2 separate regions of the Mus musculus genome follow, and region 2 is reported to be linked to region 1. The links are microRNA targets in miRTarBase. Many come from high-throughput screens and were not tested one by one. Region 1 holds a microRNA gene; the other region holds the end of a gene's coding sequence.
What was found. Region 1 holds the annotated microRNA mmu-miR-3965 (UGCUUAUCAGCCUGAUGUU, at 2,139-2,157, opposite strand). A microRNA usually pairs through its seed, bases 2 to 8, with sites in the 3' UTR of a target mRNA and lowers its output. Matches are read on the target gene's strand: a 7mer-m8 pairs with bases 2 to 8, a 7mer-A1 pairs with bases 2 to 7 and ends in A, and an 8mer does both.

Region 1 (4,387 bases):
TGTATGTCTCTATCTCTGTCTTTCTCTCTCTCTATCACATACACACACACACACACACACACACACACACACACACACACACACCAGGCTGGGGAAAAACCCAGAGCCTTGCACATGTGGGGCAAATGCTCTGTTCTGTTTGTTTGTTTGTTTGTTTGTTTGTTTGTTTGTTTGAAACAGGGTTTCTCTGTGTAGCCCTGGCTGTCCTGGAACTCACTTTGTAGACCAGGCTGACCTCAAACTCAGAAATCCTCCTGCCTCTGCCTCCAAATGCTCTGTTCTTGAGTCACAGCACCAGCCCCTCCACAGGGGATTGTGGGGAGTGCGTTTCAAAACAGGGTTTCTCTGTGTAGCCCTGGCTGTCTTGGAACTCACTCTGTAGACCAGGCTGGCCTCAAACTCAGAGATCCACCTGCCTCTGCCTCCTGAGGGCTAGGATTAAAGGCATATGTGACCATTGCCCGGCAGATTTACTTATTTTTATTTTATGTGTATGCATGTTTTGTCTGCAGGTGTGCATGGGTGCTACCGCATCATGCATGTCTGGTGCCCACAGATCCAGAAGAGGATTCCAAACCCCTGGAGTGGGCAATACAGATGTTTATGGTCCTCCGTGCGAGGGCTGGAAACTAACTTGGTCCTCAGCAACAACCACAAGAGCTGGTAACCTGCCTCAAGTTTGCCAGTTTTTTTTTTATTTTTATTTTATTTTTTTTATAAAGTAAATAAGTAAATCTTTTTTTTTTTTTTAAGATTTATTTATTTATTATATGTAAGTACACTGTAGCTGTCTTCAGACACTCCAGAAGAGGGAATCAGATCTTGTTACGGATGGTTGTGAGCCACCATGTGGTTGCTGGGATTTGAACTCTGGACCATCGGAAGAGCAGTCGGGTGCTCTAACCCACTGAGCCATCTCACCAGCCCAAGTTTGCCAGTTTTAAAGGTCAAACCCAGATAAGTGTGTGTGTAGTGAGACATACTTTTTTAAAAAAAATAGGGCTGGTGACAAGATCTGACTCCCTCTTCTGGTGTGTCTGAAGACAGCTACAGTGTACTTACATATAATAACTTACATAAAATATTTATTTATTATATGTAAGTACACTGTAGCTATTCTTCAGACACTCCAGAAGAGGGCGTCAGATCTCGTTACAGATGGTTGTGAGCCACCATGTGGTTTCTGGGATTTGAACTCAGGACCTTTGAAAGAGCAGTCGGGTGCTCTTACCCACTGAGCCATCTCACCAGCCTGAGACATACTTTTAATACTCGTACTTGGGTGACAGATACAGGGAGATCTCTGGATTTGAGATCAATCTGGTCTACAGAGTGAGTTCCAGGACATCCAGGGCTACACAGAGAAACCCTGTCTCAAAAAACCAAAACCAAAAACAGCACTAGAGACAGGAAGGTAGAGACAGGCAGATCTCTACGAGTTTGAGGTTATCCTGGTCTACATAGCAAGTTCCAGACCAGCCAGGGCTACACAGCTGAATCTCGCTAATCAGTTTTTTGCCAACTTGACACAAACATAAGACATCTGAAAAGAAGGAATCCAAGTTTTGGAATCTGGATTTGCCTTTACTGGATTGACCTGTATGCAGGGCATTTTCTTAATTACAAATGATGGATGTGGGAGTGCCCAGCTCCTGTGGGCAGTGCCACCTCTAATCAGATGGTCTTGGGTGGTATAAGAAAGTAGGTTGGGGCTGGAGAGATGGCACAGCAGTTGAAAGCTCTGACTGATCTTTTAGAGGTCCTGAGTTCAATTCCCAGCAACCACATGGTGGCTCACAGCAATCTGTAATGAGATCTGGTAACTTCTGAAGACAGTGACAGTGTACTCATATACACAAAATAAATAATTCTTTAGAAAAAAGGAAGAAAGGAAGAAAGAAAGGAAGAAAGCAAGAAAGAAAGCAGGTTGAAGACAGGTATAGTGGTGCACACCTTTAATCCCAGCACTCAGGAGACAGAAGCAGGAAGATCTCTAAGTTTGAGGCCAGCCTATTCTACAAAGTGAGTTCCAGAACAGCCAGAGCTACACAGAGAAACCCTGTCTCAGCAACAAGAAGAGAAAGAGAAAGGAAAGGAAAGGAAAAGATCAGAAACCAAAGCCGCCTGAGCAAGCCTTGAACATCAGGCTGATAAGCAGCAGCCTTCTGTGCACTCAGCTGCAGCTCTCTGACTTCCCTCCACGATGAACTGTGGCCAGAATGTGCAAGCCAAACAAAACCCCTCCTCCCTGGTAGCTTTTGGTCATGATCTTTATCACAGCAATAGAAAACACACTAAGACAGAAACCTTATCTAGGGAAAAAAAAAAAAAAAAAAAGGCAGCTTGGTTGGGCCTCTCTGAGTGGGTGATGTAATCCTGTTTGGAAGTAGAGGCTGGAACGGCAGGCATCCCGACCAGCGACCAGCGTGTCTGCCCCAAACTTCTTAGCTGGCACTGAAGGACCATTGTGATCCAGGCCAGGCTCCTTCTCTAGACTGACCCGCACCTGCTCCTAGATCTGGGAGAATTCATGGTGACTATGAATAATAGCTATATCTAGCACGTGGGGTTTCTTTCCTCTGTTTCCTGTGCGCTGTGGCACTTCCCCGACCGTATAGGCTCTTCTATGTGTGTACATGCATGCGTGTGGCATATGCATGTGGACACATGTACACTCTTCCACTTTGTGTGGAAGCCAAAGGCTGGTGACAGGTATGTTCCTTAATTGCATCTTCACAATTTTTGTTTTGTTTTGTTTTTGAGACGGGGTCTTACTAGGTAACCCTGGACTGCCTGGAACTAGCTGTGTAGATCAGGCTGGTCTCAAACTCACAGAAACTGGCTTGGTTCTGCCTCCTGAGTGCTGGGATTAAAGGTGTGCACCACCATACTCAGCTTCACCTTAAAATTTATTTGTCGCCGGGCATGGTGACACACGCCTTTAATCCCAGCACTGGGGAGGCAGAGGCAGGCAGATTTCTGAGTTCAAGGCCAGCCTGGTCTACAGAGTGATTTCCAGGACAGCCAGGGTGATACAGAGAAACCCTGTCTCGAAAAAACAATATATATATATTTGTTGCCTGGTGGTGGTGGGATGTACCTCTAGTACTAGTACAAGCACAGGAGGCAGAGACAGGCAGATCTCTGAGTTCAAAGCCAATTGATCTATAGAGTGAGAGTTCCAGGACAGCCAGAGCTACACAGAGAAACCCTGTCTCACTGTCTCAAAACAAAACAAAACAAAAAAATTGTTTAATTTTTGGTGTGTGTGTGTGTGTGTGTGTACATGATATGGGCATGCTTGTGGAGGTCAAAGACAACTTCATGGAATTAATTCTCTCTTTCCACCTTTATGTAGGTCCTGGGAATCGCCCTCTGCTTGCCAGGGCTTTTGTAGCAGGAGGCTTTACCTGCTGAGCCAGCCTGCCAGTCCACCACATTATTATTACTGCTGTTGTTGTTTTTGTTTTGAAACAGGGTTTCTCTGTGTAGCCATGGTTGTTCTGGGCTCACTCTGTAGACCCGGTTGGCCTTGAATTCAGTGAGATCCACCTGCCTCTGCCTCCAGAGTGCTGGGATTAAAGTTGTTCACTTTTTTTTTTTTTTTTTTTGAATGGAGTCCCTAAACCTGTAGATTGCCAGGGAACCCCAGAAACACACACACACAGGTTATTCTTGCATAAAATCATTGCCTTCCAGACTCCCCTTTTTCTTTATTTTATGTATATGAGTACACTGTAGCTGTCTTTAGACACACCAGAAGAGGGCATGAGATCCCATTACAGATGGTTGTGAGCCACTATGTGGTTGCTGGGAATTGAACTCAGGACTCTTGGAAGAGCAGTCAGTGTTCTTACCCGCTGAGCCATCTCTCCAGCCCCTCTCCCCTTCTTCTTTAATGGCTAGTTGCAAGGTTTCCATCAAGGCTCGGCTCACACCAGGCGTGATGCTGTGTGTCTGTAATCCAGCATTTGAGATGCAGATGCTGATGATGCTGAGTTCCCAGCCAGCAGTGTACACTGTTTGGTTCTCTCTGTCCACCATGTGGGTCCTGGCACCGAACGCAAGTCACCAGACTCCATGGCAGGTGCCGTTACTCACTGAGTTAACTTACTGGCTCAGCCTGGACAACTTAAAAAGATACTGATTAAAAACACAGCACAAACAAACAAACAAAAAACAGACTAAAATGTACCTTTTCCCTGGCCTCTGTATTCTTCTCCTCCTTAAGGCCCCCTTTTTTTTTTTTTTACCAGTGAGTACGTTTGTGTGTAGTGTATGTGGGTAATGTGTCCTTGTGTCTATCCTTGTGAATGAGGAGACTACAAGATTGCCTGCTTTTACCATTGCTACCTTGTTTACTGAGACAGAGCTTTTACAGGGTCTG
Region 2 (4,355 bases), not on the chromosome of region 1:
CCACTAAGCTATCTTCCCAGCCTTTGCTTTGCTTCAATGTCTTGTTTCGTAGTCTCAACCGCATGGTACTTCTGCCTCTGCCTGCCAAGCGCCAGCATGAGAGGTCTAAGCCACCATACTCGGCATGAAAGTTTGCTCTAGCTTTTCCTGTAGGAATTTAATAGATTGAGATCTTGCGTTTGGTCTTTCGTCTACTTTGAACTAATTTTAAGAAATGGTTTAAAGGTCCAGCTTCACTCCTCTGCACGTGGACACCTCACTCTCCGGGGAACATTTGTTGAAAGGGCGGCCCCTTGGGGGGTGGGGTGGGAGGGCCAATGCTTTAAAAAAAAAAGATTTATTTTATCTTCTGTTGCTTATTTGTGTGTGGGTATGTGCATATGAACACAAGTACTCACAGAGGCCCAGGAAGGCATCGGATCTCTGGGATCAGGAGCTACCGATTGCAAGGTGTAGGCGCTGTGAACCCAGCTCGGGTCCTCTGCACAAACCACAAACTGCCCCCACTTCTTCAGCTCAGGAGATTGCTGTTTAAAGCTAGGCATTATCAGGGTGTCGTGGGCTGATGTAATGATGTAAGGAGAGTTGGGGAAGCTGGAAATGTAGGAACCAGAAAATGGTTTCCGTAGCAGTCCTGTAGGGTAGCAAGGTGGACTACATACAGAAGTCAGGGGTGGGGTGGGAGAGGGTAGGTTTTTTGGGAGCAGGTCACTGCACCCAGTGGAGGGGAGAAGAACACGGGAGAATGGAGTTTCTGTGACTGGAGCCTGGAGAGATCGGGTGTCTCCAGGCCACTAAGTGGAAGAGATGGAGGAGGGGCCAGCCATCGGAGAGCAGCCAGACATGACCCTTGTCTATTTGTCTCCCAAACCAGTACTGATACCCCAGCCGATACCACCGCCTCCTCCACCACCACTGCCGCCAGCCCCATCCCTCGTCCCCTTGGAAGCCACTGACAACATGCTGGAGCTGTCACACCCTCTTCTACAACAGACTGAGGACCAGTTCCTGTCCCCAATCCTGGCGGCCAACTCCCCCCTGATCAGCTTCTCCCCGCCCTTGGACCAGGACGAATACCTGTGGGGCATGGACGAGGGGGAAGGCATCAGTGACCTCTTCGACTCCTATGACCTTGGGGACCTGTTGATTAATTGAAGCGTCCTGCATCTGTCTACCTCCTCACAGACAGATTGACAGGCTCTCTGCCCAGATGGGGGACACCAGACACCAGGTGTCACCCTCCGTCTGCGCGGCTCTCTTCCAGCCTTCCTTAGGGCGGAGGCCAGCTAGGGAGATGTGGAGGATTCGGCTGGGGAGTGATATCAGGGCTAAGCCCTGACCCTCCTCTTCTGACCTCCGACCCCTTCATGAAGGACTACGGGTGCAGGTGGCCATGTTCAGGGAAAGGGCTCACTGCCTCCTTCTGAGGGGCAGGGGGACCCTGACTTTTTCAAGAAGCACTTAACGCCTTTGTATTTATTTCTAGTTCAGATGTGTTTGTTTGTCCACCCTGAGTTTTAGCAGGGAGATTTGTTCTAGTTTCTCCTCAGACAGGCCCACCCACGCCCAGTGCCTAAGCGCACATCTGGGCTTCCAGGGGTCTAGGCCAGCTCCTTGCCCCCCGTCCCCCCGTCCCCCCAGTGGTGCCTGGGTCTTGAGGGGACTATCCAGTTTGCTTGAATTAATTGCACTTAGGCTTTGTAATTTTAGAAAATGCCAGGCCCAGCCAAGGCACCGGCTTGGAATTCTCCATCTCCTCCATCCTAGAGAAAGTTCCAGTAGCTACTCTGGGGGAGGTAGCCAAGGGGGCTGGCTTCCTATTGGATGTCTTATCTTTCCTGAGCCTCCCAATGTAAATGTAGGCCTTCAGGAATTAGCCCAGAAGAGCTCCTGGGAAAAGCAGGAGGCCACGCCCGTGCCTCCTAGATGCCCTTCCTCAGGAGGTCAGAGACCTGGAAGGTGGAGGCAGAGAGGAGTGAGAAGAAAACAAGAAACACCCTGGGGTCTGCCCATGTTTCCCTGGGAGGATTATTTTTGTTTCTTGGTTGCAGTTGGAGGGGGAAGATTCCTTAAACACCCACTGTCCCAAAGCCCTCACTTCACTTCCAAGGTCAGATGTGACAGGAGCTTGGTGACAGGTTTGCACCTTTCCCCACTGGAGTGCTTCGGGGGTGAGGGGGCAGGGGTGGGGTGCTCTTCCCTGCAGACTAGGCCTCAGCAGCTCATGACGGGATAGGCTGGCGCCTGCCACCTCTCCTGGCATGGGGATCTGGGAAGAGCTCTTGGTCTCTCTTGTTCTGCCCATAGACTGACCATCCAGGGTTCCTGTGGTCAGGAGACGGCAAGAGTCCGCTTTTCTTCCTCGCCTTTCCAGGCATGGAGAATGGGCTTAACCAAGGCCACGTGTCCAGAGAGGTGTACCCAGGGGTGACGGGGTCTGAGAGGCCTTCCACCTACCCTCAGGGAGCCTGGGTTTCTCAGGGGCTCAGTGGGGCAGCACTTTTTGCTTGTTGTTGTTTTAAGTTTGTAGCATTAAATTGATTTAAAAGATGAAGTTGGCTATGCCAGGTAGGTCCGAGCTAGCTGACTGGGAATTTGAAGTTTGGATGTTGAGCTAATATGTACTGGTGCCCATTTGGGTTAATTTGTCTTATCCTCGAGTCAGCTTCCTGGTGCCACAAACTTAGTCCTGTCCGAGGAGTGGTCAGCGACTCACCCCCCCCCACACACACTTGAAATTTGTCTATTTTTACACCGAGTGTCCAACCTTTTGACATATGTGACCTCGTCGTCTCTAAAGTTCACCCTCAGGAACTGCATAGATAAGCTACCAAAAAAAAAAAAAATCTCATGATGTTTGAAGTACGTTTACAACTCTGTGTTGGGCTGTGTTCGTAGGTGTCTGCGACCCGTGCTGCAGGTTAGATACACCTGCTGCAGAGATGTCCTTGGTCTCTACCAAGCGAGGGGGGTTTCTCAGACCACCCAGAAAGCCCAGTGTGCTCTAGACACAGGGGGTCCCTTGAGTGATGAGGGTGCTACCTGAGATCTGGTTTGATGCACATGAGGCCGGAGACAGCATTGCTGTTTCCTGGTCTTTGCCGTTTAGCTGTGCGCCAACAGAGATATCTGACCTCTGTGCCTTGGGCTCTGGGTGGAGGAGAGCTTGGCTTAGCGAGAAGAGGGCTGCCATTCCTGTCTGGTGTGAGGTTAAGAATACAGTCCAGATTCAAGTTCAGTCAAAAGACCCAGCGCAGGGATGGATGGAGGCTTCCCCAGTCTTTTTGATCTCTGAGCTCTTTCTTATCAACCCTGCCTGGTCCAGGGGCTGGACCTCCCGGGAGAAGCCCGAGGCTAGCGTGGGAACAAGCTCACACCTCTTTCTTGCCAATGATACTTGAGACCTCTTTAAGTTCCTTAGAGTGCTTTAAAAGAACGGGGTGTACCCCTTTTGGAACACTGTTTTGAGTGGTATGTCTTTTAGGCCCTAGGGAAACGTTCATGCTAGGGTGGGAAAGCTACCAGTTTCTTTCTGAGGGGAATACTTTCTTCAGGGAAGTTTCCCAGCCCTACCAGTGTCCCCTGCTGATATCCCTGGGGACTCCAGAGCATTTAGCAGAATTAAACTTGTAAATAGGCTTGGAGATGCACCATTGAAGATGTCAGGCTGAGTCCCTTCTCTGTGTGGCTGTGAGGAGTGGGAGTTTGGGGGAGTTTGTAAACTATTTCAGGGGGTGCAGTGTGGTTTCCCCTCCCTGTGAGGCCTCAGCCTCTCTTCTGCACAGATTCCGTGTTGTAAAGAGTTTGCTCATGCCGCCATCGGTGTGCTATAGCTTTAACGCTTCTGAAACCTCTGGGGTTGATTAGAAGCCGGGGCTTAAGTTTCCGTCGTACCCAGAGGCCCCACCTCACCCAGGTCGTCTCTTCTCCCACAAGGCTCTTCAGGGACCGTGGTGGCTACAGGTCTGGCCAGCCTCTGGCTCCTAGGAAATATGCAGTCTTGTGGGGTTTGATCATTTTGAAGATACCTGGGGGTGGGAAGGTCTGGAGTCCCTGGGTTGGGACTCCATGTGGGTCACCTACCTCCTGGTTTCACCCAAAGTCCTGCCTTGAACCACCAGCAAGTTTCATTCTGTTGTGATAATTGGGCATTAAATAATGGCGGCTCTGGTAAACTTTGTCTTGGTGTGATTTCTTTTTGCAGATCTGGGGCTCCCACCCCTCACACACGTTAGATACGTGCCCAACCATTGAACCGTACCTCAGGCCTGTTGTGCTTCCTGTCTGCTCCCTTGACGGGGGGTTAGGAACATATTTTTCCAGCTGATGTGTCCTGTCTCTATGTCCTCTCTTCC

Region 2: the mRNA of E2f2 is a reported target of mmu-miR-3965. Seed matches in the 3' UTR shown: 7mer-m8 at 2,822-2,828.

Annotation. Positions count from the first base shown.
Region 1 is chr5:134,324,264-134,328,650 of GRCm38, reverse strand. Mir3965 (microRNA 3965) reads right to left here and starts at 2,197; the gene lies at 2,129-2,197.
Region 2 is chr4:136,191,883-136,196,237 of GRCm38, forward strand. E2f2 (E2F transcription factor 2) reads left to right here. Exons shown (of 7, transcript NM_177733.7): 7 at 875-4,175. The coding sequence ends at 1,155. Among named protein-coding and RNA genes, the nearest start is that of Asap3, 12 kb to the right of the region's middle.